Cricetulus griseus: one gene and its partners. The protein of the gene in region 1 purifies or fractionates together with the protein of each later gene. This does not show direct contact. Links are inferred from orthologs where the notes say so. Each region holds a gene or a part of one and is shown in the gene's direction. Other genes may lie near its edges. The genes, in order: Arhgef12, Gna13, Gipc1, Vapa and Myo6.

Region 1 (5,893 bases):
TCTGTACTTCACTGCTTCACTATAAGAACTTTTTGGATCACTGAGGAAAGACAGTTTTTCCATGACACGTTTGAAAAGCCTGAGGGTTGAAACCAATACAGGAATAGTTAAATATTTATGAATTGCTACTTCTTATGCCTAGGCTTTAGTATTAATAACTTTTGAAGGATATTAAGTATTTTTTTTCCTGAGTCAGCTTTGGCTGGCCTTGAATTTACAGAAATCTGCCTGTCTCTGCCTCCCAAGAGCTGGGATTTTTAAAGATGTATGATACTATTCCCCAGCCTTAAGTCTTTAAAAAAAAAGAAAATGACAGTTTACAGTTATTTGATATCTATTTAAAATAAACTTTATGTCATTTATAATAGTTATGTCAGAAAACACACTACTGTATGTATTCCCTTACCTGCCAAAGAATGAGAGCTCCCCTTGAGATGCTAATGCTACAACATGGAGCTTTTACTGATAAATAAGTTGCTGGCAGAGACAGTAATCGGCATTTTCATAATAGATGCTGTCCTTTAAATCTTCTTTTGGGAGGCTGAAAAATGCTTCAGTGCTAGGTATTAGAATTCTAGAACTCAGAAGCCTTGCACACATCATCTGTATCTGCTTTATTGTGGCTGAGGAGTGAGGGCATGTTGTGGTTCTTTGTAATGCCGTCCATAAGCTATTACTCATCTGGAGGAAGGTCTGCAGAGAATGTTTTCAATAACATTCTTCTCTTTCAGAAGGTTTTGTGCAAGCTGTTACAACATGGACTGTTCCATTTTCAAGACATGTAGCATAACCATGGTTGAATGTAAATGATATCTTCCATATTAAAACTGTTTTGAAAAGATACTAGTTATGCTGGCTGTAACCCCATTGATGAAATGGTCTTGGAAGTAATTTGTGTACTGTTCTTTTTACTTTGGCAGAATTTGGATTTAACAAAAAGAAAGATGATTCACGAAGGGCCATTGGTTTGGAAGGTGAATAGAGATAAAAGCATAGGTAAGTCTGTGGTCCTTTCAGTTTTGGAGAGGATGGAGAGAATAAGAAAATCTACTGGTGGGAAGCAGAATCATTCACAGTTTTCAGTTAGCAGTGCTGTTCCACACTATCTGAACATTTATAGGAGATCTGCTTGTGTGTTTGTTAAGTGTAAAGCATGCAACATTTCATTTAGGAATTTAGCAGAAACCTGTCTCACTTCAGTTCAATTTCCATCATCTTATCTCCTGATGGATCTTTCTTTTAAGTTCTTGCATTGAGAGCACTATTTTTTTTAATTCTTATAATTCTCAGATGACATTTCCACAAAACATACTAAAATGAATTATTAAAAATGAAATTAAAGAAGATAGTTGTGGGGGCTAAAGAGATGGCTTAGTAGTTAAGAACACTGACTGTTCTTCCAGAGGCCCTGAGTTCAATTCCCAGCAACCACATGGCGGCTCACAACCATTGTAATCAGATCTGGTGCCCTCTTCTGACCTGCAGGCATACATACAGGCAGGACACTGTATACATAACAAACAAACAAATCTTTAAAAAAAAAAAAAAAGAAAATAGTTTGCAAATCAGTTTTTAAGATTAGCTAGGTTTTCCAGAAATAATTTCCTTTTTCACATTATTTTAAAATTTCTACCCTTAATACTTGACGTGTGCATTTTTTTTTCTAGATCTTTATACACTGCTGCTAGAAGACATTCTTGTACTGTTGCAAAAGCAGGATGACAGACTGGTGTTACGGTGCCATAGTAAGATTCTGGCATCCACAGCTGACAGCAAACACACATTCAGTCCAGTCATTAAGCTGAGCACAGTGTTGGTCCGACAGGTGGCAACAGGTGAGTGTGTCTACTGAGGATGCTAGCTTCTAGATTCACAGGATACTAAGTGTTGCTTAAGCAGCACAATGGACTTCAGTAGTTCTGTCGTAAGACAGGTTGTCTCAGTGGTTGTCTGCATTTGAAAATTTAAATACACTTACTTTTGTGTTTATTCTGTTCAAATTGGTGATCGATACCAGCAAAGGTAGTGAGTACTTTGAGGGTAACTCCAGTGAGAAGGCTGTCATTAAAATGGTATGTTTGTTTGTTGGGAAAAATGAAGAGGTGAGTGAATTTATTTGTTTGTTTTATTTAATTTTATTATTTTGTGTGTATGGGTGTTTTGACTCTGTGTGTGTGTGTGTGTGTGTGTGTGTGTGTGTCTGTGTCTGTGTCTTTTCATATAAGCATTTTAATTTCAGAATTACAGGCTTGATAGAACTCCAAAGCACATTCCACTTGGGCAGGACATAACCTTTATTAAGACAGAACTTTTATGAGGCCAATTATTTTTTATTGTTTGAGAATTTTATATATGCATATAATGTCAAATTTTGGTTAAATCCAATCCCTGTCCCCTCCCCTACTTTTCTGTCTCAACTTAATGTGTTTTTTCTTTTTTTTTAACTCACTGAGTCCAAGTAATATGAACTTTGACTTATTTTTGTTACTAATGAATTACTATGTTGACTTTTATAAAGTTCGTTTAAGTTGCAGATAATGTAGCTTGTGGTGAGTTACAGAAAATTTAAATTTATAAACTTGATAAAGTTTTGCACAGTGGACATATGTAACATTTATCTAAATTAAGATGCAGAATATTCATATCTGCATCTGGAAATATCTCATGGCTTCCTTGATCATAGTGGTAAAGTAAATTTTCTTTTCTTCTTTTCTAGATAACAAAGCCTTATTCGTCATCTCCATGTCAGATAATGGAGCCCAAATTTATGAATTGGTAGCACAGACAGTTTCTGAAAAGACGGTGTATGTATCAGATTTTATTACCTTTTCTAACTGATATTCTGTTATTCAAAGTATAAATGTTCCACAGACTTTGTTTTTTGTTAAGATTTATTTCATTATTTGTGTGTGTGAGTGTGTGTGTGGGTGTGAGTGGGTGAGTGTGCACATGTGTACAGTTGCCTGAAGAAGCCAGGAGAGGGTGTCAGATCCCCTAGAGCTAATGTTACAAGTGGTTGTAAGCTGACTGAGGGTGCTGGAAACTGGTGGATGGCTTCCTCTGGAGGAGCAAGCAGGTTCCCTAACTGCTGAGCCATCTCTCCAGCCTGCACCTTATACTAGGATTCTGAAAACCACTATAGAAATCAAGTACTTTCTCTTGTACCCTTTTGGGAATATTCCTCTAAGAATTTGCTTCATTTGAGATGCTTGATCTCATTTTTATTTTATTCTACTTAAAGTGAATTTTCTACAAAAAAAGTTCTCAGAAGTGCCAAATTAATCTTTTAAATGGGTAATGTGCTCATGTTAGAATTTTCTTTAAAATGTATTTTAGAGTCTCTACAGAAGTGGTGCCAAAATAAAGATGTTCTCTGGCAGCATGGTGGTGTTTGGGTTTTGTTTTCTCTTTTTATCTGGAGTGTATTTATGGGGTGTTTCTGCTTTCCTCCTGCATTTTGGACTCCTTTCATCCCTGAAGCTGGCAGGACCTCATCTGTCGAATGGCTGCATCAGTGAAGGAGCAGTCCACAAAGCCAATTCCTCTCCCACAGTCAACACCTTGCGAGTAAGTGTGCACTTGGGCTTCTGTCAGGAAGACATGCATAGTTCTTCATTTGAATGCCATGAAGTTGGGACATCTTTCCAAGCTCAGGGGAGGGTTGTTTGTTTGTTTTCTACAGAGGAGACAATGACGAAGAAGAACCATCCAAATTAAAAGTGGAGCACCATGGTCTTTCAGTCACTGGTCTACACAGTCCAGGTGAGCTGCATAGACAAGACTTCCTGGAGGACATAGATAGGCTCTGTGCTGGCACCAACCACACTCTTTAGCAGATGCTGCCTGTGAGCCCTCTGTGTGGCAGTATAGCATTGCTTTGTGCTGTGGGCTTCCCAGGCACATGATCTCTGTAGCTTATGTTGCTAACCCCACCCCCATCGTTTCCTAAATGTTCTATGTTGAAAACGAAATATCCCTTAAGGTAGACTATACCTTTTCTGTTCTTCTGAACAGACAGAGTTTTGGGATTAGAATCGCCATTAATTTCGTCAAAACCACAGTCTCATTCACTGAATACCCCTGGCAAATCAGAGGCAGAGCATCTCTTTGTGACTGCGACACAGTTTGCAAAGGAGCAGTGTGCAAATGGGACACTGAAGGAAGATGATGGCAGTTACCCAGTCCCAGTCCCACATCCACACTTGCCTGTGTCAGAGGAGCGGTGGGCACTGGATGCACTGAGAAATCGTAAGTTTTCTTCCTAACTTGTAGCACACACTATGTACCAGAGTATGTGGTTACTGGAAAGCGTTTTAGAGAAAAAAGCAATAGATTTTCATGAGAAAAAGTTTGAGCTGTGATATTTTTCCCTTCAAGAAATTTATGGTCTAGTTGGGAAGATGATAAGAACCTTACCTCACCCCCCTGCCACCTTTCAAAGCAAACATTCCAGGAGTAATAAGGCTTTTTTGTCAAATCTGTCCAGGTTGGTGTGGTCAGAGAAGGGAAGCAGCAGAGAAAGACAGATGTGCTTGTCATCCTGAAGGGTGATTAAGATCCGAATGAATGTGTAGAATAATAGAACCACTCAGACAGAAGTAATAGAAAGATGAGAAGTGCATGCAGGAAGCACAGGGTGCTCAGAGAACAGTGAGTGGACCACTGGTCTGCACACAGTATAGATTGGAGGAGTGTACATGATAGATTTAGGAATCCTGAAGATGGATTAAGAGTCTCACTCACTGTTGTGAATTTTAAATACCAGGTTACATCCTCCATATTTGACGGACAGACACATCACAGAATTTTAGGAGCTTTTCCAAATTACACGTTTTACGTTTTGTGTGGAGATTTAATGTTCTTCACAATAGCTTCTAGCCTCTGTTAGCTGCCCCTCCCTAGCTCCAGCCATGTTGGAAACGACAATTGCACATGTAAAGATAGCACATCTCTCAGGTACAGTGAGGTGGATAAAGTTCAAGAATAGTAGCTACAGAGGACCATGTGAGGTTTTATAGCTAAGTATGACAGACAAAAACTTACTAATCTGGCTGAGAGCTACTCAGGAATTTGGATGGAAAGAGGCCTGGAGTGCCCTTACTAAGTCAGCTATTACAGTTCTTTAGGCTCAAGGCTAAAAGGGTTAGAATATGTACCAAGGAAGTACAGAGTCACCCAGTACTTAGAACAATTGACTTCTGTGGCTGTGAGGGCAAAGGAAAGGGGATCTAGTGAGGTAATTTTTAAAAACTAGTGAATATTCCCTTTGAACTTACATATGCTACTACTAAATCATTGGAATTTAAGTTTATTATACAATTTTATTGTCTTCACTATTAAGGAAGATTATTAAAAAAAATAATGTCTAGACGTACAGAATCTACTCTAGAGAAGAAAAAGCGTAACATTTAGCTTTGCTGGCGTAGCTAGCAAAGTATTTAGGCCTTTAACATAAGAGTGTCTTGCTATTCAGGATGCTTATCTCTGGTCAGGTGTAGTTTAATATTAAGTGTTGTGTAGAAGATAATATTTTTGATTGCATTTTTCAAGACAAAAATGATTATGTAGGCTGGGTGTAGTGGTGCACACCTTTAATTCCAGACAAAGGCAGGAGATCTATGTGAGTTGGAGGCCAGCCTGGTCTGCAGAAAAAGTTCCAGGATAGCCAAGGCTAGAAACCCTGTCTCCAACAACCAAAAGTAAAACAAGCAAAAAAAAAAAAAATTGTGTAGGATTAATATTTTGGTTGTGTATTGTTAAGATGTGTTCTTAGGCGAGAAGGGATGGGAAACCTAGCTGTCTGATTCCAGCTGACAGTTTTCTCTGTTCTTTTCACCCCACCCTGACTCCTAGTGGGCTTGTTGAAGCAGCTGCTAGTCCAGCAGTTGGGTCT
Region 2 (6,375 bases), on another chromosome or scaffold:
GGTTAATGTTCCCAAAGTTGATTCTCATACCGTGTAGCGGTGTCCCGGTCCCCACTGCTGCCACACATATACTGCATGTGTATGGACATGTGTGTGCGTGTGAATGCACCTTATTCACCGAGGCAGGTTCTCTCACTTGGATCCAGAGCTTGCTGATTTGGCTTCTCTAGCTAGCCAGCGTGCTCTGGAATCCTATCTCCTATCTTCCAAGCCACCAATTCCACTTGGCATTTTCATGGGCTCTGGGGGATTAGAACCACAGCCCTCATGCTCGTACAACAGGCACTTTAAACGCCAAGCCTTCTCCCAGCCCCTTCTATCAGTACTTTCACCCTTTTTATGACCGCACAATCTATTGCTTCTATGAATCACACTTTGTTCATCCATTCAGTCACCAACGGGCATTTGGGTGGTTGAGTGTTACGAGTTTATTTTGTTATTAACAGCGCTGCCATGAACATGGATGAATGAGCAGTGTTCTCAGTTCTCTGGGATATATACCTAGGAGTGGGGCTGCTGGGTCACGTGGCGGTTCTACGTTTAACTTTCGAAGAACCACTCAACGGACTCACTTTTTCATGCTTACAAAGGGTCTTGATTACCAGTTAAGAGCAGCAGCCAAACCCCAGGTGGGCCTTTAAAGGTTTCTTTCCAGAAACCCTGATTAGAGCAGCCAGGCTCACCCCAAGCCAAATTCGTTCCAAGGAAAGGTTCCTTCCATTCAGGACTTTGAACAGCCTCTCTGCTGCACTACATGTCCCAACAAGAACTGGCAGGGCAGGAATCCCTTCCTGCCTCCTAGGCATCCTTGCTTTTCCATTATGTTGTGCACACCTCAGGAAAATGTAGGTAGTTAATCTAACGTAGGCACTTCCCTCCTCTGTTTTTGCTAAGGAGTTCATCTTAGAAACTGGCAGTAACTCAGGGGCTTTGTACTACCTGCCTGTCCTGGGTGGAAGCTATTTTCTTCCTGGCTCTAGAACAGGGCACTCCTAACAGGGAGTGGTCAAAGCTATCTAGAGGCTGTCCATTCACTCCCAGCAGGCTTTTGTCTTACATTAGGCCTGACCCTACATCCATGGATGTTGGCTGTGAACTGAGCCCACTTTGCAGATGGTCTACTCTGCAGGCTCAGGTCCACTCTAAAGTTTTGGTGGGTGTAATAGGAAATAATTCCACTCCAGGTATTGTTTATTGCAGCCAGTGTACTGAGTCACGGGCTTCTCAGTCACCAATCCAAATGACAGTAACTGATTGACTTAGTGCTGGTTTTTAGATTTAAACTTGTGCACTGGCCTCTCACTGTGCTGACCTCTTACCCCTGGATCCTTAACACACAGGAAGTTCTCCAGTTGCACGAGCCCAAAACCAGCAGCAAAAAATATTGAGACAAAACCAGACAGGCATCAACCGCCTTTCCCCTTTGAAACTGACAAAGAATGAAGAAGTTGGCTTCTGAGGTCCTTGCTACACACTCACACAGGCAACCCAGCTGTCATTTGTCACGTGTGTCATCAGGAGTCTTTTCAGGTGTCCTGGCCTGATCTGCTGTTATGACAGGAAAAAAAAAAAGTCTCTTGCCAGTCATATCCTCTGTAATCTGGCAGGAAACCTAAAATGTCCTGCCGCAGTCCTATGCTGTAGGCTTATCTGCTTCCTTGGGAAGAACGCGCATCACAGTGTCCGGTTTAGGGGGATTTTCACCATGACCTCACCCTCTCCACCATTCACTGACCTCAGCAGGCATTACCCAAGTCACAAATGAAGCTCGGGTGGGATCCACATTAGCGAGCCAGCCACCAGAGACCTTGCTAGCACATCTCACATGAACAGCATCAACTCTAACTCTTCTCAAACCAGGGCAGGTATCAATAATGCCCTGAACTGCTCCAGAGGGGTGTTGATCAATAAGACATTTGACATCTAGATATCCTTCTAGACTCAGGATGGTAGAATGGCAAGGGAGTCGCTGCTAATTAAATGCGTGGGCTTGGATTAAAGCGCTTGCCTGTAATCCCAGCAGTGGAGAGGTAGGCTGAGGCAGGAGGATTGCCACAAATTTAAGCCAGCTTTTGCTGTACGATGAAATCCTATCTCAAGAGTTAAAATAAGGGGGGGGTGGTGGAGTGGGGGGACAAAATGTGATGAAGGAAGGAGGAGGCACCCAGGAACCTTCCAGGCTTGCGGTGGTCTGTGCGGTAATGTCCCAGCCAATGATCTCAAAATAGGAGGTGACAGCAGGCGGCGGGCGAGTCACTAGGGGAAAGGGCAGTGAGAACTGCAGAGAGAAGGAGTCCCTAAGAGAGTGGCATCGGGATGGGCTCACTCGCCTCGGGGCTCCGGGAAGCGACGGCACTAAAGGGAAACAGAAAGTCCGGCCCGGCAGGCGCGCGCCCAGCCCGGCCCGCGTGACTCGCGGGGGGCTCCGCCTCTCACCGCGCGCGCTCCCGGCCGCAGCCTCCTCGGCCAGCGAGCGGTGGGGGGGCGGAGCGGGACTCGCGCCGGCCTCCCCAGCGCGGCGTGCCTGCGTGCGCGTGCCCGTCGGGCGACGGGGGCGTGCACGCCCGGAGGGCCACCGCCCCTCCCTGGGCCCGCCCTCCCTCCCACCCCTCCCACCCTCCCCCGGCCGGCGCGGCCCGCCCTGGCGAGTCAGTCCTCGGGTTCCCTCCCTCCCCGGGCGCGCTCGGGCCGCCGCTGCGCTCCCCGCCCTCCAGCCGCCTTGCCGGAGCCAGCCGCTGCCGGAGGAGGAGGTGGAGGAGCCGCAGGGGCCCGCCGAGGCGGCGGCGGCGGCGGCAAGATGGCGGACTTCCTGCCGTCGCGCTCCGTGCTGTCCGTGTGCTTCCCGGGCTGCGTGTTGACGAACGGCGAGGCCGAGCAGCAGCGCAAGTCCAAGGAGATCGACAAATGCCTGTCGCGGGAGAAGACCTACGTGAAGCGGCTGGTGAAGATCCTGCTGCTGGGTGCGGGCGAGAGCGGCAAGTCCACCTTCCTGAAGCAGATGCGGATCATCCACGGCCAGGACTTCGACCAGCGCGCGCGCGAGGAGTTCCGCCCCACCATCTACAGCAACGTGATCAAAGGTGCGGGGGCGCGGCGGGGCTCGGGGACCCGGGGACCCCTGGGGAGCCGGGCCGGGCACCGCCCTCACCCGCCGGTCCCAAGTCTGAGGACACTGGATCGGACCAGATCGGACGGGCGAGCCCGCGAGCGAGCGAGCGAGCGGGTGGGCGCGCCTCGGGCGCCGTCCCGTGCGCCGCTGTGCCCTGGCCCCTCAGATCCGGGGCGCCCCGCTGTCCCCCCGTGCTACCCCAGTGAGGGTCACGGTCGGCCCCGCACCCCTCGGCTGGCCTCGCCCCCTCCGAGAGGGAAGTGTGGCGAGCAGGGTGACTCCGGGCAGCAGGGCGACTGGTGTCCTCCCAGCACACCAGACAAGCCCACCCCATCAGCAGCCCCAGGTCCCACACTCTCAACCCCTCCCTCTTCTCCCCGCCACGGGTGGGTGGGTGGGTGACCCTAGAAACCGGCGCAGATACCCTTCCAGCTCTGGGCTTCCTAGGCCACCTCTTGAGTTAAGCAAGTTCTGGAACCGCCGCAATGAGGAAACTTTTTTTTTTTTTTTTTTTTTTTTTGCCCTGAGACTCTTGTCAAGGGCATAGAGTGACAGCCTCTGGGGCCTTTTGGGGCAAGAGGTATGAAACTCAAGGGTGTCGAGTTTACTGAACTAGCATCAGGAGAGCCTATTAAAAAAAAAAAAAAAAAAAAAAAAAAAAAAAAAAAAAAACCTAGCACAAGTGGTTTTATCGCCCCAGTGCTACAGGATGTTTGTACTCAACAGTTCAACATGTTGCTTTCTTTCTCTTTTGCTTAATAACTCGGAGCAGGAGGGGGAATAAAACGGGCAACATTTCTAATACTTAAATGAATGTATGTTTAACTACGAAGACTCTTTGGCTTAAAAGTCATAAGAGACCTACAGAAGTTAGTGAATATGTGTGGTGTTGGATCATGGGCGTTACAAATTCTGTTTGACAATATTTTAAAATTAAAATATTGTTCCTCAGTGAAAAACACACGACATCTTTATTTCCTAGCATTCAAGGAAGTTTTGGAGGTGGCTCTTGTCATTTGAAATATCACCTTTCTTAAAAATTTTTCTTTAGTGTTATGTATCTTCTACATAAAAGACATTGTCAAAACTGAGGCACAGAGCCCTATGTTTTGAGTGATTAAGGAGTCACCCTGTTTTATCTGGGACTTCGAAGCAAACTACGATCGTAGATCTTTTCAGTTGTTATGTGGCTTTATTTTTTTTTAAGTGGGTTTTTTGTTGTTGTTCAGGAAGTACATGAAGCAAACCCCTTCATGTCTCTCCTCCCGCCTCTTCAGGATTTCAAATGGGGAAAAACTAGAGAGGGAGGCATTGTAGGGCAATGAGGGGAGAAGGCTAGGCCAAGAGCTCACAGTCCACGGCTCTTTCTTAGCCTGTACCTCTGCAGTTAAACTGTAAAGAGTGCTTGTATTTAGTCTGCCCTAATGTTTAGCACAAAACTAATTAAGGTCTCTTCTAAGGCTGTAGTGTACCTTGCTAGCCCATAATTGAAGGTACCTTTGTATCCTGATGCAGTTGAACTTAAAGAATTATGTTAATGAATAGACTAAAGTATTCACTGTAAGGTAAACACCTGCTTTTTTGATATATACTGGGCCTAAGAATTACTTTGAGCATTATTGTGTGATCAAGCCTAAGTCTAACTAGGCATCTTATTTTCTTGGGGTGATCAGAAAGTTGAAAGCAAAACAGTTTTTTCATGTATCCCAAGAAAGGACTTCCTAATAGATTGAGACAGAAGTAACAGTTTGGTGCTAAGAGTATTGAGTTTGAATTGACCTAAGTAAGTGGAGACCTCTGTTTGTGTATCATTTTGCAGTTGGTTTGGCTTTTAGGTAACTGTAAAGCCAGCAGGTGACTGTACTGATTTGAAACTGAGTCTGAGAGTGTCCTGGAAGAAAGTATTGGTAGGAGCTGAAGGACTCTGACTGAACACAGTGACTCAGGGCTGGGCAGCATTATTTATTTTTTCCATTTCTGGTTTTGACCTCCTTCCACTTCAGACATGATTTTATGGATGACAGCATATTAAAATCCTTCCAAGAGAGATTTTTGTTATCGATATTTACTTTCCAAGGCTTCTACTTTTAAGACAATGAACAATTGTTTTTTAAACCTCTGAGAAGATAAAGGTTCTGTTTTGATTCTGGTCTCCATTTAGGGAGTGGGGGTTCTGTAATAGCTAAAAAAAATTAAGGAACCAATACTGAATAACACTGGGGTGAAAGGTTGTGATGGTATCTTAATGACTCTTCCTCACATTTTTTTTTTTTTCCTTTTTAAACAAAGGTATGAGGGTGCTGGTAGATGCCCGAGAGAAGCTTCATATTCCCTGGGGAGATAACAAAAACCAGCTCCATGGTGACAAGTTGATGGCATTTGATACCCGTGCCCCCATGGCTGCCCAGGGGATGGTGGAGACTCGAGTTTTTTTGCAGTATCTTCCTGCTATAAAAGCCTTGTGGGATGACAGTGGTATACAGAATGCCTACGACCGGCGCCGGGAATTCCAACTGGTAAGACATTCACTTCTCTAAAATGTTTAATTTATTATTTTTGTTCCTTTGGTGTGTTTTTACTTATATGTGTTTGGGGGGCATCTGCATGCCATAGCATATATGTGGATGTCAGAGGACCACCTGCGGGTATTGGTTCTCCTCTAGCATGTGGGTTATGGGCATAAAACTCAGGTCCTCAGGCTTGGTGGCAAGTGCCTTTACCTGCTGAGCCACCCTAGCTCTGAAGGATACTTTGTTAAACGACTTTTAGTAATGTCTGGTTTAGCCCACTCCATTTCCACTCCACTCCAAACTTCCATGGTGTAATCTGTTCATTCAAAAATGTAGCCTTCAATACTTGGTTTGCTGTGTGTCCCTTTCACTAAGCAAAGGTCAACCCTATAGATTTAATGAAGCTATTTCAGTGGTTAGAAAGTAATGTCATAATGACTTTCTGATGACCTCTTTCTTTTAAGGATAAGTCCAGTGAGTGAGTCTGGTTGTTCACATGTGCTAGTTAGCCTCTGAAGCACTTATTTTATGACAGAGATGAGTTTGATAGGGAGAGATTAGACCCTTTTTTTCTCCTTACTTTGTAGACCAGGCTGGCCTTAAACTTGCAGTGACCCTCATTTCTCTGTCTCCTAAGTGCTAGGATTATAGGCTCGAGTCCCCATGCCCAGCTGAGAGACTACTCTGTAAAATATTTTATAAGAAATGAAATACTGTTTTTGTGTTCTTGTTTCACATGGGAAACAATTTCCATTT
Region 3 (6,440 bases), on another chromosome or scaffold:
TCACCACCAGTGAAATCTCCAATGCCAGGAATGGATTATATATAATTGAGTCATTGGACAAAGGGGTCCCATGGAAACCCCCAAACAACTCGGGCTACTGCAAGACTATTGGATGCTCTCCACAAAATGATGATAAGTCCCTATTGCTGAAGAGAACACCTACATATCTCATTGAACACAGTACCAACTAGATCCTTTACCCCTACTGACTAGTGTTCATGTAGTGGAAGGTATTCTTCATGCTTCCAGAGAAGAAAGGTAACTACCAACCATCTACAAACCCTTTGATCTACAGTGGTGATCTGCCTGAATGATATGCTGGTGCAACAGTGGCACAGAAGCTGTGGGGATAACCAACTGTGGGAACATGGTCAAAGAATGACATATGGTGGACATTGCCTTGGGCTCCAGAAGAAAAGGCAGAGGACTTATTACCTCAAGTATTTTGTTCCTTGTATTGTTCTTGGATGTCAGAACATAGCTATAGAATCCAGTCTGGTGAAAGGATATGCTGAGAGCTGTCCTGGGTGTACCCTGAATCTGGATATGGCCTTGCCTTGCTTTGTGCTTTCCCAGACATAATTAAAATGAAATTATCTAATGTGCTTAGCAGGAAAAACTTCAAGCCAAGGTAACATTCATGTTGTGGTTAGCTATTATGTTTATTTTGAATTTTTTGATTGCTGAAAAGCAAAGGACAGGGTTTCTCTGAGTAGCTCCTGTCCTGGAACTCACTTTGTAGATCAGGCTGGCCTCAAACTCACAGAGATCCATTTGCCTCTGCCTCATAAGTACTGGGACTGAAGGCGTGTGCCACTACCTCCCAGCCATTTATCTATTATTATAACTAAGAAAAACTATAACTATAATTATCTATCTTCAACTCCATCAAAGACCTGAGAAGGAATAATATTACCTGAATAAGGGCAAGCAAGCGACTTCTTAAAGATACAGGAAATGACAGAAACAGCTGGCTTTCTGGACAGTCACCTCAGGTTTTGTTTTTTGGTTTTTTGGTTTTTTTTTTTTTTTGGTGATGTTGGGGCATCCAATTTTGGCTTATAGGCCTAGAATATCTGACATATCATTTTCCATTGTCAGAAGCAAGAAAATCTGAAGGACTCTCCTAACCTTTCTTGGCAAGGTTCAGCAGTCACTTTTTCTTGTGTCCTGTTTGTCTGGATTGGACAGCATACTTACTGTCAGCAGTCCAGGCAAGGGCAGCTCTTTACCCAATAGGCCAGTTTTGCTAAAAGGGAAACAAACTCCATATGGAGTGACTTCAGTGCCCATCATCCTCTCAGGAGTAGATCAGCTGCCAGGAGCAGATGTGTCTCATGTCAAAAGAATTTTAAATTATCAAAACATTTTAAATGTCATATTCTGTAGGTCTTTGAAGTGTTTGAAGATTACCAACCCATCTAAAAATATATCTCTGTATATCTAGCTAAACCTAACATAACATTAAGTTTGACTATTATAAACTGCATAAACATAGTATCATAAACAAGAGTAGAAATATAAATATAGCATAACAAAATTAACCTTAAGTTTATATCAAGAAAGTAAAATATATAACAATGTAAGTATTTTGGGATTAGCAGTTGTTTGGGGGTTAAGGAGATTCAATAATCTACCCTTTTCCCCATCATACATTTCTATGAGGGAGGAGGAAGGGGAGAAGGAGGAGGAGGAAGTGGAGGAGGAGGAGGCGGCGGAGGAGGAGGAGGAGGGGAGGAGGAGGAGGGGAGGAGGGGAGGAGAGGAGGAGGAGGAGAGGAGGAGGAGGAGGAGGAGGAGGAGGAGGAGGAGGAAACCTGCACTGGTTGGTCACCATCTATGATTCTGCACAGTACTGAACTGACAAGCCGACTGTTTAAACATTCTCCATCGTGTATTCTTACACAGCTTTACTAGCAAAGTGCTCTGTGGCTCTCTGTGCAGCTTCGGAGCCTTTGCACACCCTGTATCTCCATTCATGTGTCTGTAGAGCCAGGACCGAGCCTGGTACCAGGCAGGGGCACTTAAAGATTGAAAGACTGAATGAATGCACGGTTGCTTTGTCTATTGTGTAGAGTGGAAAAAGCAGAGACACCCGGGACCCTCCCTATTCACTATGGCCCACCCCCTGGAGTCAAAGCATCTTTCTGGGAGGGAAGCTGAGCGAGGGTGTGCTCTCGGCCGCCTCTCTGACCTCCCAACGAGCCCGCTTTCCTGGATGCCGAGCGCAGTCCTCCAAACCCGGTCATCTGACTCTTACTGCCAGCTCCCGCCCAGCTCCCCGTCCTCTCACCCGCGCAGCCCCTCAATGGTTCAGCCCGCCGCCATTTAGAACGAGTAAGGTCGGACCACTGCGCGTACAGGGGGGAGACCGAGGTGCGGCGGAGGGATCCCTCAGAGCGTTCCGACGGGAGGCACCCATTGGCCGCCAGTATGGGAGGCCGCCGCTGATTGGTCCGCTCGGGACGCCGGCCCCGCCCAGGTACGGGAGGCCGAGGGAGAAGCCGGGCCGAGTTTCCAGAGGATCGAACTGGGCGCGCGGGGTGGCTGCGGCGCAGGTGAGTGTTCCCCGGCCAGGGGCGGCCTCCCGGGCGTGGAGCCGTGGCGGCGGGGTGGGGCTGGCCGCGTCGGGACCCCAAACACGGACCCTTCCCCTCCGGCCGGGGCCTCCGGTCCGCCCCTGCCCTCTGCTCCCGGGACGCTCCCTGTTGGTGATGGGTCCCGACCCCTCCCGGGCCCCTGCCCAAAAGCTGGCCGCGGGGGCACCGAGGCCGCCGAGTCCGGAAGACAATAACAACCGCAGTAATAGTGCGGACCACCCCCCACCCCCGCCTCGCTAGCCCGGACCCAGCGCTTCCTCGTCAGACGCTTACAGTGCACAACATTGAATCAAAACAGCCTCCTGGGAGGGGCTGTTAACTTCTTTTAGAAGTGAGGGATCAGGGCCAGAGAGGTGGAGTGACTCACTCAAGGTCACACAGCTAGTAAGTGGCCGGTGGGGATGAGGGACCCATGCCTTGAGTCCAGAAACTAGTCCCAGAAGTCGTCCCTGACCAGCCAGCCACCGGACTCACTGCACACGGCCGCCCCCATATTCCCTTCGGAGCCGCACCTGCTGGGTTTTGCTTCCCCGAGCCCACGGGTCACTAAACAGCTTCCAAGTTGCCCTCGTGTCCCTTCTCTTGAGCTGGCCAGGCAAGGCCTGACGTGGGCCCTTTAATCCCATTCCCCCTCCACCCACCCTGTCTACTTACTGCGAAGAGAAATGAGCGAGAGTGAGTGTAGAGGCCGGGGCGGGGGAGCGGGGCAAGAGGTGCGTCCACTCGCCCCGGAAACACTGGAGAGATGAAACCTTTAGGATCCGGTTTTTCAAGAATGAATCAGAGGCCTCCTCCCCTCCTCCCCAAAGTAGTACTGTGCTGGGGGTTAGGAGCGAGGGACGACAGGTGTGGTGTCCCCTAAACTGGGAGTTATCTGAGCCCCAGGAGTCCCCCTCCCTGCTTCCTGCACCTCCCACTTAGCGTTTCTGTGACTGCAGGGTTGCTAAGTTTCTGGCCCTTCTTGGGATGAGAGCGCTGAACTCCGGAAATCCATCCAACCCACTTCCCTTCAGCTCCTTGCAGACAGCGGGGAGGAGCTCGTAGCTCTCTAGCAGTCATGTTGGTGGGGTTTGGTTCACAAGCAGGGTTATAGGACATTCACTCTACAGTTCACCTGCAAGTGCTAAGCAGCCACTGTGCCAGGCACCATGTTTTGCTTGGAGGGAAGTGTCCTCCAAATGCAGGACAGAATTCCCTGCATTCTAGTGGGGAACAGGCAACAAGTTAACATGGGCAGCCACTGCAGATCCTTCTAAGTGCTGAGTGACCTCTCAGAGATCACTGGGCAGGGGGAGATCACACACACACACACCCCAAGGCAGAGTGAAGTATAGAATAGCTGGAACAGGGAATGAAGCTATAGATGTGATTGAGTACCTGGTACAGAAAACACATTTTTTTATTGTCGAGTTTTCCCCTATACGGTGAGATTCCTTTGTGAGATAGGAGATGGTTTGCATTTTAAAATAGAGACACAGGCTGGAAAGACAGCTCACAGACTGCATGCTGGGAGTTCCATTCCCAGCCCCCACATGGTGGGTCACAACCATCTCTAACTAGTTCCTTTTGACCTCTTCAGGCACCCAAGTGATGCACAGGCAGACATGAAGCAAAGCTCTCATACACATAAAATTAAAATAAAATAAATTTTAAAAATGAAGATGCAAGATAAATAGCAGCCGGGACATTGAGAGACAAGCTCTGTCAGGGTAGCACACAGCAAGTTCATAGACCCTAGTACTGTGGTGCAGCTCCTGTGTGCGGGCTGGGCAAGCCAGCTGCCTGGAGAAGTCTGGAATAGGCCTTGCCAGCATAGGAACTGGGATGCTTCTAGGCCAGGGAAGGAAGGATGTGACCAGAATAAAGACTGAAGAAGTTTGGAGGTGCAGGTCAGCAGTACAGCCCCTGCCCCGAACCTGTGGGGGAGGTGTGGGTCGGCAGCAGAGTGCCTTCCAAGCAATGAAAGATTCTAGTTTCTGTCTCCATCACTGCAAATAATAACACGTCCAACACTTTCTGATGAGATTCCGTAAGTACCCAACAGACATAAACTCTGCCAGATTCTCAGGAGATAAAACTGCGGCCTCATGAAGCTAAGCAACTTGGCTTTGTCTGTGCCACTGGTGAGTAGCAAGGGTGGAACTTGAATCCAGGCCATCATCCAGGCCATGTGTCTCAGGGTCTGCATCATTGGTTTATTAGTCACTCATTTTCCTCAGTGCCTTGGGTCTCTCACCAGAGGGCACACAAAAGCTGGACTAAACCACAGCAGTGAATATGTACAGAGACAGAAAGGAGGCTGGGGAACAGGGTATGCGGTGCAGGACAGTGAGGAAAGACAGTGTATCAGCACACACCCCAATAGTATTGCGGGGACTGTCCCAGGCACACACATGCACTCACACACCCCCAATAGTGTTCCAGGAGCAATCCAGGCATATACATGGTTTCCTTTTTGATCAGACGAGTTAAGATATTTGGCCTAAACTGGGCAGTGGTGGCACACGCCTTTGATCCCAGCATTCAGGCAGATCTCTGAGTTTGAGGCCAGCCTGGACTACAGAGTAAGTTCCAGGACAGCCAGGGACTACAGAGTAAACTTAAAACAAATATAGAACAAGGAATGGTGATCAAAAGAGTGTGTACCAAGGAGGTGCTATTGCTCCTGTTCTCTATTGAGTGTGGTGGCATACAATTCCATGTAATTCATTTCAGTTTACTTCTGTGAAATAGCCAGTGAGTGTCTGTAGTATACTGGGATACAGAGCTATGGACAGACAGATGAAAGAACCAGTAAAAGACAAGTGCCCAGAATATATAAAGAGTTCTCACAAATCAATAAGAAAAAGACCATCCAAGTAAGGCTGAATCAGCCAGGTGTAAAGAGGCCTGTTATCCCAGGACATGGGAGGTAGAGGCAGGAGGATCTTGAGTGTGAGGCTTATTCTGTATTGTGCAGGGAGACAGACCCTCCTTGAAAAAGCAGAGCAAAAGAAAACAATGCAGGGCCATGTAGACCATGGAGATGGCGCACTTGGTAAAGTGCTTGCTGTGCCAGCTGAGTTTGACTGTCAGAACCCATGTGAAAATGCTAGGCATGGTGGCTTGCAGCTGTCACCCCAGCACTGGGGACATAAACAGGAAGGCCTATGGGGCCGGCTAGCCTAACTGGAGAGCTCATGCAAAGTGGGGCTGGGGGTATGGGATATAACTTAGTGGTAGAGCCCTTGCCCAGCATATTTGAGGCCCTGAGTTCAATTCCCAGCACAAAAGGGGTGGCACACTGGAGAGATGGCTCAGTGGAGTAAAGACTGCCACCAAGCCTGTAACCTGAGTTTGATTCCTGGTACCTGAATGGTAGAAGGAATGAACTGACCCCCACAACCTCTGTATGCAAATTGTGGCAACACACATGCACACAAATAAATAAATGTGGTCCCCCTCCCCTTTCAGACAGGGTCTCATTTTGCAGTTCTGGTTGTCCTAGAACTTGCTATGTTGGCTAGCCTAACCTCAAAGTAATTTTTTTTAATTTTTATTTTATGTGTTTGGGTATTTCGTCTGCTTGCATGCCTGAGCTCACAGGGCAGAAGAGGGTGTCAGATCCTCCCTGGGACTGGAGTTGGAGGCAATTTTTAGCTGCCATATGGGTTCTGGAATTCGAACCCAGGTTTTTTTTGGAAGAGTAGGCAGTGCTATAACCATTGAGCCACCTTTCCAGCCCCAGTAATTTTTTTTTTTTAAAGCAAAGTGATGACACTTGAGGACCAATACCCAAGGTTGACCTCTAACCTCCACATGCACCCACACATCCATGGGTATGAATGAGCACACGCACAAG
Region 4 (5,648 bases), on another chromosome or scaffold:
TTGTAGATTTGACCTTGACTTTCTATGTGTAGTCCCTAGCTCCTTTCTGATAGCCCCTACAAAGTTAGTACAGTGGAAATCTCTGTGTGGGGCTACCGCAGACAGGCAGAAAGAATACAGTGGTGGAGAATGTATGGCATACAGTCTTGACACTGTAGCCTATTCTCACCCGAGGTGCTAAGGTTGGCTTATTTCATGGTCCTAGTCCCCTGTCTGCTGGGATTAATGGTGAGCATTACACCCCACATTTATTTGGGACTTTAATTTTTTATTTTAAAGTCATTAGAATTCCCCTCTCTCCACTACTAGCTTCATATATATCATTCTGTAGTCAACACTGGGCCAACAGTATGATTTTCTTCTGCATTTTTTGCTCCTGTACTTGGGGTTGAGCCAATGACCATTATGTGTGTGAGGCAAATGCTCTGCTGCCCAGCACTGTCTTCGTTGTTAGGCAACACTTGAGGACTCGTCTGTTGTTGAGTACTGCCTGCCTTACAGAGGGAGGCACATGCTTTCCCCTTTGAAATTCAGGTTGGGTTGTGCAGGATGGGGTATGAAAACTCAGTTTGAAGTGAATTTTAATTATTGTCAAGAAAATAGAGTAAATATTTTAGCAAAATATATCAGGTACAGACTTTTTATACTAGAGATGGACTTGGTTGGACATTAGGGAGATTGCGGTAAAGAACAAATGTCAGCAGGAGAAACTCAGAGCAAATTGAGGTAATTAAGTCTCTTCACACTTGAAAAGTGGGAAATGTGCGGGCAGGTCAGGTAGTCAGGGTTGTGCACTAGAACCCCTTGTTGCCCTCAGAAAGTACTGGCACGGGCAGCTTCAGGAAGAAGACTTGGTTTGAGGAGCAGTGCAGTCTAGCACCAGTAGCTGGTAGTCTGCAGGCAGGAGACAGCGGTGAATGCTGGTGCTCATTGCTCTTCCTTTTTTTTTTTCTGTTGAGGACCCGCCCATGTGACGGTGCCACTCACTCACTCACTCACTCACTCACTCACTCACTCACTCACTCACTCACAATTAGGGTCTGTTGCCCCATCTCGATTAACCCAGTATAGAAAAGAAAGAATTTTGCAGCCCTAGGTGATTCTAGACCTGTCTGGTTGACAGCATTAACACTGTAGTCCCATTGGCCACCAGAGTGGTTCTGCACAGTCTCTGATCCTGGTACAGATGACTGCTGTGTGATGCTGTGAAATGTAATTTGGTAAATGCCTTGATCAGCAGTTTATATCTGCATAAAGCTTGCCCTTTTTATGTATTTATTTGTAGTGTTTATGTCTGTCAGTAGCAAACCCAAGGTCTCCTGCTTGCTATCAGATGCTCTATTACTGACTTAACCTCCTATGTCTTCTAAAAAATTTTAGCAGTTAAAAGTCTAAAATGAAAAAGGTGACTTTATATTGGTGATATTATGGTGTGGGGTGGTATAAATGATATTGGGATGAAGGAAACAGTTTGGACCACAGTCTTAGAAACAATGTTAGTCAGAGGATTAATTTAGACCTTGTAGTTTTGAAAGTTGTCTTAAGTTACTTCTTAAATAGTATACCACAATGAATCACACTAATTGGACAGTTTACTCTTTGAAGGATCATTTGTGCTTAAGACCACAGATAGCTTCCTCCACTCACTGCAGTGATTTGCTTGCTTACTGTTTCAATATTTGTGTCTTTTAGCTCTTTTATTCCATTAGTAGACATTAGGGTTTAGATTGGTTTTGGCTGTATGTTCTTAGGTAGCTGCAAAGTTTATTGGGATGACCATGAGGCTGCCCTGTACCTTCCAATTCTTAAAACCTCATTTGATTGCAGAATCAGACCATTGACAATTGCCTGGAGTTAGCATATTTTCTTAGCCTGACTCTTCTTGGCCAAAGCCTGTGTTTAGGGGTAAATAACAAGAGAGAAATGGCTCTTCTAGCTTTTGCGATTCTGGATGAAAGAATGTAGAATATCAAGTATTATGATACCTTTTAAGTGCTGTGTTAAGGTAAGTACCATGAGTACAGAGGTAGATGAAATAGGCTGCTCATTTTGATTTACCTAACTACTGGTATGTAGTGACATACTCCATTGAAAATTGTCTACAGATGACCTTATTTGAAATAAGTTGAAATTAGTTGAAACTTGTCACATTTAGAGCATTTTTAGAAAAAATGTAGAGTTTAGATTTTTATTAGTTAAAATCCATAAATGTTTTTAGTTAAAGATTCCCAATGTCTTTGAAATACAGAATGATATGGAACCTAGCAAAGCTGTTCCACTGAATGCATCCAAACAAGACGGACCCCTGCCAAAACCGCATAGTGTTTCTCTCAATGATACGGAAACAAGGAAGCTGATGGAAGAGTGTAAGAGACTTCAGGGAGAAATGATGAAGCTGTCAGAAGAAAACCGACACCTGAGAGTAAGTTTTCCTGCTTGAAAATGTGTTAATTGGAATGAAGGTAGAAGAATGACTTATAGAAACTTAACCTTGGGTCTATGTATATGAAACCATTTCAGTAGGAAGGGAGCAGTTCCTTCTTTTACATGGAGTAAGATATTACTAACACAAAGCACAATTATCAGTCTAATTGAGAGCTTCCTGAACCCTGCAATGCAGTCTGTGTGCCATGGTAGCCTTTCACACATATCTTGATGTTGGTGTGATCATATTAAAACTCCATGGTAATGGTATTTCACCCTAAAGTACACCTCTTCTCTAAATCCTTAATATTTTGTCTACTACAAAATAAGTCTGCCATGTGGGTTTCCAAGTTGTAGTGAGTCAGTGATCCTGCCGAGTGTAATGCTTTTGGCTGACCGCTGTAGTCAATTTATGATACCACAGGACGTAATGGAAGTAAGCTTGCATGGTTTGATAGGAATATACTCTTTAACTTGTATTTTAAAAGTCAGTGTTACTGAGGTGTAATTTACATCACATGACTGTAGTTGTTTAGGCAGATTTATAGTTCTTCAGCTGTCACTTTAGTCCAGTTGTAGACTTCTTCACAGTTCCACAGGTTCCCAAGGAAGACTGCAGTTAATTCTCGCTCCTATTCCTAGCCACACACATCTGCTGATCTCCTTTCTGTCTGTAGGAACTTTAGCTTTGACACTCACCTGCATGTGTTACCTGTTTAAAACTGTGATTTGTGTATTTTCCCCAGGATGAAGGCTTAAGACTTAGAAAGGTAGCGCATTCGGACAAACCGGGATCCACCTCAGCTGCACCCTTCAGGGAGAGTGTCACCAGTCCTCTTCCTTCTCTTCTGGTTGTAATCGCAGCCATTTTCATTGGATTCTTTCTAGGGAAATTCATCTTGTAGAGTGAAGCATGCAGAGTGCTAGTTCTTTTTTTTCTCTCGACCAGAAAAAGATTTGTTTACCTACCATTTCATTGGTAGTATGGCCCGCGGTGACCATTTTTTGTGTGTACAGCGTCATATAGGCTTTGCCTTTAATGATCTCTTACGGTTAGAAAACACAATGAAACACACTGTTGGGCCCCTGGACAAATTGTACATTACCAGATCATCACTAGCAGGTGTCAGTTGCACATTCTGTCCTTTATGAGATTCATAAATAAAGAATTGTTCTTTCTTTGTGGTTTTAATAAGAGTTCAAGAATTGTTCAGTCTTGTAAATGTTATTTTAATAATCCCTTTAAATTTTATCTGTTGCTGTTACCTCTTGAAATATGATTTATTTAGATTGCTAATCTCACTCATTCAGGAAATGCCAAGAGGTTTTCTGTGGGGAACTGGTGCCTCTTACTGTGTAAATTTTCTCTTTCCCTTTGCTAATATCATGGCAGAATTTTTCTTATCCCTTGTGAGGAGGCAGTTTGTTGACTGAGTTTTTCATCCTTACGATCCTGTCCCATGGTATTTAACATAAAAAATAAAACTGTTAACAGATTCTTGCTCGGATAGCTTGTTTGTGTCTGCCAAGTCATTAGGGCTGGGCTGGGCTGGGCTGGGCTGGGCTGGGCTGGGCTGGGCTGGCTGGGCTGGGTGGGGTGGGGTGGGCAGGGCAGGGCAGGGCAGGGCAGGGCAGGGCAGGGCAGGGCAGGTTTGGGGTGAGCCAGAAAGTCTACTCTTCAGAAATGGGCCTTTTTAATGCTATATTTTCTCTTGTGTGAAACTCTTCCCAGTACTTCATTACTTGTAACTTAAAGGTTTTGAGACTAAGAAACAAATAGCTACAATTTCAGGCTAATGTAGGTATTTTGGAATACCACAGTTGGTTTTAAGAGATAAAGTGCTATAGAAAGTCAGCTCTGATGACTCTTGTGTGTGCCAGCTGGCTGTTGTTCAGTTCACTCCCTTCTTACCATGGTTTCTTTTCTGTTATTTTGAGACAGCTCTGGAGTCTATCCTGGAACTCCCTCTATAGACCAAGCTGGCCTTGAACTCAGAGAAGATCCACATGCCTCTGCCTCCCAGTGCTGGGGTTAAAGGCGTTCACCATCACTGTCTGACTGAAGGATTTAGTTTTTGAAAATCAAAACTTTTATTTTTGCAAATTAGTCTGTTAACATGTGAAACACAGTTGCATTTCAAAAGAGTGTGTGTGTGTGTGTGTGTGTGTAATTTATTCATACTGATACAAACAATTTTATAATCAGAAAAATATACCGTTTTCAACTGAGTATAGTTTATTACAGGTAAATTTGTATTCTCAAAATAGGTGTTGGTTTTGTAGAAGTTTAATTCTCTTGGAAAAGAAATTGGGTTGCAAGGCTTAATATTCAGTGAAGTAACAAGTCTGCACATTTTATGCAAGAGTGAAGTCTTCTCAAGTGTTAGTTGCCTTTTAATTTCTCAGATTATAATGGCTTATATATAATGTATTGTTATACTCTATGATAACTCTTTTATAAAACTTATGTACCAGTTAACTTGTAGCATGAATAATAAAAACCCAGGGACAGATACTGGGCTTGAAGCTGAAGATCAGAGAAGCAAAGCAGCCAGCTACTAGAGAGTTCTAATCTATCGATGCTCAGACCAAAGGGTCGATCCATGGAACCTTAGATTGCATCTCCTGACTGCACTGCTCTCCACCAAGCCTCAGAATCCTAGGCTCCCCCCCCCCCCCCCCCCCCCCCCCCCCCCGCTGCAAAGAGCTCCCTAGTGCTGGGATTAAAGGTGTGAGCTGTTTCTCTTTTAGACTGATCGACTCTAACGTAGTCCTGGGTAGCCTTGAACTCCCAGAAGTCCATCAGCCTCCTGAGTCCTGGGATTAAAGGTGTGGTCACCACTGCCTATCCTTTATTGCTGTGGCTTGCTTTGCATTCTGATTCTCCAGGCAAACTTTTATTACGACATATCACCACATTGACAGAAAAAACAAAGCAACGAAAAACCAGAAGTTAATGCTTAACCTATTACTAGCTTGCTTCTGCAAGGAATGTCCCCATTGCAATATGCAGTACTGCCCCAGTAAGCTCCCTCCCCTTTAACTGGAAAAGATGATAAAAATCTTACATTTTCATTCCATAAGTACATAAGCAGCAGCTCCGTTTAAAGTCCTCTGTAAGATCAGTGTTGGTGGTAAGTTCAAGTTTGGTATTGCTTAAATTGCTTTTTAAAGGGAAAAAAAAATCCTGTTTATGGAAATGCTCCCTGAAATTTAGTTGTCTC
Region 5 (5,893 bases), about 37 Mb from region 1:
TTGAGGGATGCAGTGAGACTGTCTCATTGATGCTGCTGGCAGCTTTGGTTCTCGTGTCTGATGGAATGGCTCCCTGGTTCCTCCGCCAGCATTTTCAGACTTTTATTTTTTGAAGGTCTGATGATGTCTACTATCTGAGATATGTTCTAGGAGTATTAATTTCATTATTGTCTTAAGCAGCAGAATGTACTGTCTTCTTTTTCCCCTTTCTCTCTTTGACCCCCACATTTGACCTCCTCATTTTCTCCAGTTTTAACTAAAGCTATTCTCCCTCTGCCTAAATGGCATCTACATTAGGTATTCTCAATAGATGATCTGTGTTCTGTCTCTCTGTGCCCCTAGCTTCCCCTCCCCCAGTCTATTTAATTTGAAGTGCTATGTATTGAACTCCGGGCCTTCCAAATGCTAAGCAAGCTACACCCCTGGGTAATGTCTCTCTTTTCTTATTCATGAAATCTCATTAGTTATCAAACTATATGGATTTTTGCCTTTGGATAGTATAACCCATTATTTTCAATGTCAATACCTCAGGGCAACCTCTTTTCATCACTTACACAATAACTTCATTAGCTCCAAAAATTGTTTACTAGCTCCCCACCCCACTTATCTTTTTTAACCCCCAAACTTTCCTAGCCCTCATTCAATAGCTGGCAAAGTTTGAATCCTAGCCATTTTTCCTAGACTGTAGTTGGGGTTTCAGTTCATCTTTGCAGCCTCTCCTGCTCCTCCTCTCTCAGACTCACTCTTCAGTACCCTGGACCAAGCTGAGCTTGAGTGAATTTCTGCCAGGTTGTAGCAGCTACTTACTTCTGGCCTAAAACATGAGTGAGTGGAAATACTTTGGATTACTTGAAGGTCTGTGGTGAAAGTTTAACGTTGGGAGCTGTGTGGGAATCAGTCACCATGCTCCCATACTTACCGGAGTCCTTGAAATAGTGCTGCTTGTGTGGCAGGACTTAGTAGAGAAATCTTCACTAATGGGGGAGTAAAATTTACTTGGTCTAGCACAAAGGAACTAGGCACATTATTATTGAGACCTTTTGTTAGACAATAGTGCATACCCATAAAAAAAAAAAAACAAAACTATGATAAAAAGACACCTTTAATCCCAGCACTCGGGAGGCAGAGGCAGACGGATTTCTGTGAGTTGGAGGCCAACCTGGTCTCCAGAGTGAGTGCCAGGATAGGCTCCAAAGCTACACAGAGAAACCCTGTCTCGAAAAACCAAAAAAAAAAAAAAAAAAAAAAAAAAAAAAAAAGACAACAGAACCTCTTTTCCCATTATTTTCCAAGTAAAATATGAAAGTTTCCCACAGGCTCAGTGCTTTCGGCTTTGTCTATAGTGCATTTCCAGAAGGAAGTAAACTCTGTTTCCTAAACTCATTTGGCAGGTTAACTTTTTAAAGAAAGTTATAATATTTAATAGAACATTTAAGAGAAATATGGCACAGAAAAGTTTGTTAATAGTAGTGTTGCACACTTGAGAATACATTTGAAATAGAGTGCTAGCCACATCCATCTTTTTTTTTTATTATTTTTAAGAAGTTAAAGAAACTTTAGACTTCCTGCCTCTGATCACTGGAATAACATATACATCAAGATTTTATGAGAATTGCTTTGTGGGAATGAATGAGTTTTTAATTTATGTCCTATTTAAACCAATATGTTTCTGTCATTTTATTTCACTCTTACACATAGTGAAAAACAAAATACAATATCGAGCTGAAGCGTGCATTAAAATGCAGAAAACGATTCGAATGTGGCTTTGCAAAAGGAGACACAAACCACGGTAAGATGAACAGTGTCTGAAGATCTATACAAATGGCTTGTTTGTGCTGTGGATTTGGAATCCGCTCATTCGTTACTTAGCTTGCTGTTCTACCACAGGGTTTGAGTGGCTGGCAGACATGTGAACACTTAAAGATTGCAATGAAAGACCGAGAGAGACTGCCATTCTGGTTACTGTATGATTTGAGTTTCTTGATAATGCCAAGTTAGATGCTGTTTTGGAAGACACCCACCAGCCTGGTGGTAATTTCAGGAATGTTCATAAAATAATCTTACTTTGCTGGTGTGTCATTTCACTGAACATATTTCATTTTCATCTTACTTAAAATTTGTATTGCCAGGTTACTTTTTAAACTTTGGAAGTTTGGATAGCTATTGACACCACACCTTTTCAAAGAAATGTTGGATCATTTGAGTTTATAATTTCAATGAATCCTCATTTTTCTGTCTAAATATAGCTGGCCTCCATGTTATTGATGGCCATCAATGCTAATCCTATGTGTATTTGATTCTTTTCATACTTAATGAGAGACCTGAACAGACTACTAAACAATATTGAAGACAGAAGTAGCCTGCCCGTGTAGCCGCAGTGTTCACTGTTTAGCAATGAGAGTCCTCCTAGAACATTAGTTTGTGAGGTAACTAGCTGATGGAGCCTTACTATTGCAGCATTGATGGCCTGGTTAAGGTGGGCACCCTGAAGAAACGACTCGATAAGTTCAATGAAGTAGTAAATGCATTGAAAGATGGGAAGCCAGAGGTGAACAGACAAATCAAAGATCTGGAAATTTCTATTGATGCTTTGATGGCCAAAATTAAGGTGGGTCATTTTCATCTAGCTAACTTGAACTTTTTATATAATTTACTGTTTCTTGTTATTGATATTGAACTTTATGCAGGAAAACACACTTACTTATTCAAGATATGAAACATTAAAAAGTAGATACCCACATTAATTTTTTCTCAATATGTAAAAAATTTTGTATTAAAAAGATAATCTTTATGTGATTTTTTGTTTGTTTGTTTGTTTTTGAGACAGGGTTTCTCTGTGGCTTTGGAGCCTGTCCTGGAACTAGCTCTTGTAGACAAGGCTGGTCTCGAACTCACAGAGATCCGCCTGCCTCTGCCTCCCGAGTGCTGGGATTAAAGGCGTGTGCGCCACCAACACCCGGCTATATGTGATTTTTTTTGTCTGTTGTTAGGCAAAATATTACCCTGTAGAGAGTAACTAAAATACTAAAACTTTGTTGTTAAGCTTTTACAGTCATTATCCAGGGAGGGTTAATGTAAATTAATTCCTTTTATGCTTTTCTACTTTCCAAAACAAATTTTTTTCTATTGTATTTATTTTTCTTTCTGGAGGTGCTGGGTCTTGAGCAAAGTTCATTGAGCATGCCCTTCTACAGAGCTACGTCCTCAGGTCCCGGAAATGAAACTACTAAATTATAAAAGTAATGTGTCAGTGTTGAAAATGGAGCGAAAGTCATCCAACACTCTTTTGTAGCAGCACACTAAGCGTTCAGATAATATGTGTTACCGTTTCCTTTATAATCATACTTTGGACGCATACATTTTTACATAGTTCTCCATCATAATTATGTGTGTCACTTTGTACCTCTGCTGTTAGGATACATGATTTGTTGTGGTTAACACATGACCTTCATAATTTACTTAGCTATTTTAAAAGTAGCACTTAGCTTTCTTCATTTTTAAAGGAGAAAGTGGAGCAATTTTAGGTTTGATTTTTCAATTGCTTGAATATCAATGTGACTAAAAATATTTTCTATAATGCTTGTTACCACATTTCATCTTTATTTCAATTTCCTCAATTATATGTTAGGGTGTTTTACAGGTTTTCTCAAGTAGCACTCAGAAGTCAATGCACTTAAATTAAGCCTTTTGTAGTTCCTGTTGACAGGTTAAATATTAGAGGTAGAAAGAAAAAAATAATGAAGAAAAGGAAGAAAATGCTACAAGTAGATTTTGATTTTACAGATCAAAGGTGAGACTGGCTTCAATCAGAATTAACCCAGGAAAATCATCCAACAGGTTTAGTTGTAATTTCCCAACATTCCTTAGGTACTAATTGAATGGTGTAAGTAAAGAAAGCAAACTGGCTAAAGGAGATAGTCATTCCTTAAAAATATTTTAAAGCTACATTTATACAGCTTTTCTCACAGCCTGCTACTGATATTGATGGCTTGTTTGAGAGGACCTAGACTCAAGTATTTATGTGTGGAGAAGATTTTCAAGGAATATGTGACTAGCTGGACACGATGGTATACACCTATAATCCTAGTGTTTGTGAGGCTCCTGAGCTCCATAGCTAGTTCAAGGATACCCTGGGCTACGGGAAACTGTTTTAAAAAAAAAAAAAAATCTTTTTTTTTTTTTTTTTTTTTTTTTTTTTTTTGAGATAGGGTTTCTCTGTGTAGCTTTGGAGCCTATCCTGGCACTCGCTCTGGAGACCAGGCTGGCCTCGAACTCAGAGAGATCCGCTTGCCTCTGCCTCCCGAGTGCTGGGATTAAAGGCATGCGCCACCAACGCCGGCAAAAAAAAAAGATATTAACATAGTTTTGTTGATCAGTTTTGCCAGCTATTTATATATATCTTAGAGGTTTTTATTATTTATTTTATTTTATTTATTTATTTATTTATTTTTTTTGTGAAAACCCCAAACCATTGAACTTATCATTGTGTCCGTTTTAAAGCGTACAGTTCGGTGGTTTAAGCATATCCACATTGTGCAGAGGAGGTGATTCTTAAGGACATGTTTGTTCTTTGGTTTTTTAAGTCCACCATGATGACAAGGGAACAAATACAGAAAGAGTATGATGCGCTAGTTAAAAGCTCGGAAGATCTCCTCAGTGCACTGCAGAAAAAGAAACAGCAAGAAGAGGAGGCAGAGAGGCTGAGGCGCATTCAAGAGGAGATGGAGAAAGAAAGGAAGAGGCGCGAAGAGGACGAGCAAAGGCGGCGGAAGGAGGAGGAGGAGAGGCGGATGTAAGCCATTTGCAGAGTTCTGACTAGGAGCCTAAGGCTGATAGATGATGGCTGTTCTCAAGCTATGTCCTACTCATATCAGATGATTACCAGCTATGTATTTAATTATCTATCTATATATTTGTTTATTTCTTCATTTATTTATTTATTGTGACAGGGATTCAGAGCTGGTCTGGAACTCCCATCCTCCTGCCACAGCCTTCTGAGTGCGCATTATACTCACATACCAACACGCCTGGTACAAATCAAACAATTTTAGAATGAGTTTGCAAAAAAATTTAATGCTCATTTTATATAGTTACATGAATTTGTTAACTACAGGTTGGGTGTTCCTAATCTGTAACTCTAAAAACTAAGAAGAAAATTTGAAGTCTGAAATTTTTTTATTACGTGTGAGCTTTGTGTGTGTGTGTGTGTGTGTGTGTGTGTGTGTGTGTGTGTGTGTGTGTTCTTTGCCATGGTATGCTTATGGAAATCAGAGAACAGCTTGTGGAGTTGGTTCACTCCTTCATCACATGGGTTTTGGGATTGATAGTATCAGTCTTGGTGGCAAGTGCCTTTATCTGTTGGCCCTAAAGTCTGAAACTTTTTGCGTGAGTGGTATCACAAAAACTTAATTTAATACAATCTAGCTGTATTTTATTCTTTGGCTTCTGGAGACAGGGTCAATTAGCTCTGGCTGACTTCCATTTTTGCTATATAAACCAGGCTGTCCTCAAACTTGTAGCCCTCCTCTTGCCACTGCTTCTTGGTGCTGTGTTTACAGGCATGAGCCACCCTGCCCAGAAAATTTTGTTTTGTAACGTATTAACCATACATATTAATGGGATTCATGTGATGCTAAGATGCATGTGTAGTGTACATTTGACACACCCACCCACCCTTTTCTCCTTCTCCCCATCTCTTCACCTGGCAAGCTCTCTTCAGCATCTCTGGAAATCACTATTCTACTTTTGGATAGAGTTCTCTCTTTTCCTTAAGTTTCCCCATAGGAGAGAACACACGGTTCCTGTGTTTCTTCTAAGTCTGGCTTATTTCCACTTCCACCCATCTTGCTGCAGATGGCAGGATCTCATTCTTCACCCCCTGCTGTGCTCCTGG

What was found.
Region 2: the proteins of Arhgef12 (region 1) and Gna13 purify together in Homo sapiens (affinity purification with western blotting; 3 studies listed by BioGRID). This does not show direct contact. The link is inferred for Cricetulus griseus from reciprocal best matches to the Homo sapiens genes ARHGEF12 and GNA13.
Region 3: the proteins of Arhgef12 (region 1) and Gipc1 purify together in Homo sapiens (co-immunoprecipitation; 4 studies listed by BioGRID and IntAct, with this or other methods). This does not show direct contact. The link is inferred for Cricetulus griseus from reciprocal best matches to the Homo sapiens genes ARHGEF12 and GIPC1.
Region 4: the proteins of Arhgef12 (region 1) and Vapa purify together in Homo sapiens (affinity purification with mass spectrometry; 5 studies listed by BioGRID and IntAct, counting the BioPlex papers as one, with this or other methods). This does not show direct contact. The link is inferred for Cricetulus griseus from reciprocal best matches to the Homo sapiens genes ARHGEF12 and VAPA.
Region 5: the proteins of Arhgef12 (region 1) and Myo6 purify together in Homo sapiens (affinity purification with mass spectrometry; 4 studies listed by BioGRID and IntAct, counting the BioPlex papers as one, with this or other methods). This does not show direct contact. The link is inferred for Cricetulus griseus from reciprocal best matches to the Homo sapiens genes ARHGEF12 and MYO6.

What each region holds. Positions count from the first base shown.
Region 1 is NC_048597.1:154,669,271-154,675,163, reverse strand, and holds part of Arhgef12 (rho guanine nucleotide exchange factor 12), read left to right. Parts: intron 1-920; coding exon 921-996; intron 997-1,667; coding exon 1,668-1,835; intron 1,836-2,716; coding exon 2,717-2,804; intron 2,805-3,480; coding exon 3,481-3,567; intron 3,568-3,682; coding exon 3,683-3,762; intron 3,763-4,014; coding exon 4,015-4,248; intron 4,249-5,853; coding exon 5,854-5,893. UniProt on the Homo sapiens protein: May play a role in the regulation of RhoA GTPase by guanine nucleotide-binding alpha-12 (GNA12) and alpha-13 (GNA13). Acts as guanine nucleotide exchange factor (GEF) for RhoA GTPase and may act as GTPase-activating protein (GAP) for GNA12 and GNA13.
Region 2 is NC_048600.1:122,209,941-122,216,315, forward strand, and holds the start of Gna13 (guanine nucleotide-binding protein subunit alpha-13), read left to right. Parts: upstream 1-2,797; coding exon 2,798-3,080; intron 3,081-5,398; coding exon 5,399-5,625; intron 5,626-6,375. UniProt on the Homo sapiens protein: Guanine nucleotide-binding proteins (G proteins) are involved as modulators or transducers in various transmembrane signaling systems.
Region 3 is NC_048596.1:160,760,338-160,766,777, reverse strand, and holds the start of Gipc1 (PDZ domain-containing protein GIPC1), read left to right. Parts: upstream 1-2,431; 5' UTR 2,432-2,557; intron 2,558-6,440. UniProt on the Homo sapiens protein: May be involved in G protein-linked signaling.
Region 4 is NC_048595.1:454,535,150-454,540,797, reverse strand, and holds the end of Vapa (vesicle-associated membrane protein-associated protein A), read left to right. Parts: intron 1-2,248; coding exon 2,249-2,422; intron 2,423-3,170; coding exon 3,171-3,329; 3' UTR 3,330-3,932; downstream 3,933-5,648. UniProt on the Homo sapiens protein: Endoplasmic reticulum (ER)-anchored protein that mediates the formation of contact sites between the ER and endosomes via interaction with FFAT motif-containing proteins such as STARD3 or WDR44.
Region 5 is NC_048597.1:191,194,130-191,200,022, forward strand, and holds part of Myo6 (unconventional myosin-VI), read left to right. Parts: intron 1-1,698; coding exon 1,699-1,789; intron 1,790-2,457; coding exon 2,458-2,608; intron 2,609-4,583; coding exon 4,584-4,792; intron 4,793-5,893. UniProt on the Homo sapiens protein: Myosins are actin-based motor molecules with ATPase activity. Unconventional myosins serve in intracellular movements. Myosin 6 is a reverse-direction motor protein that moves towards the minus-end of actin filaments.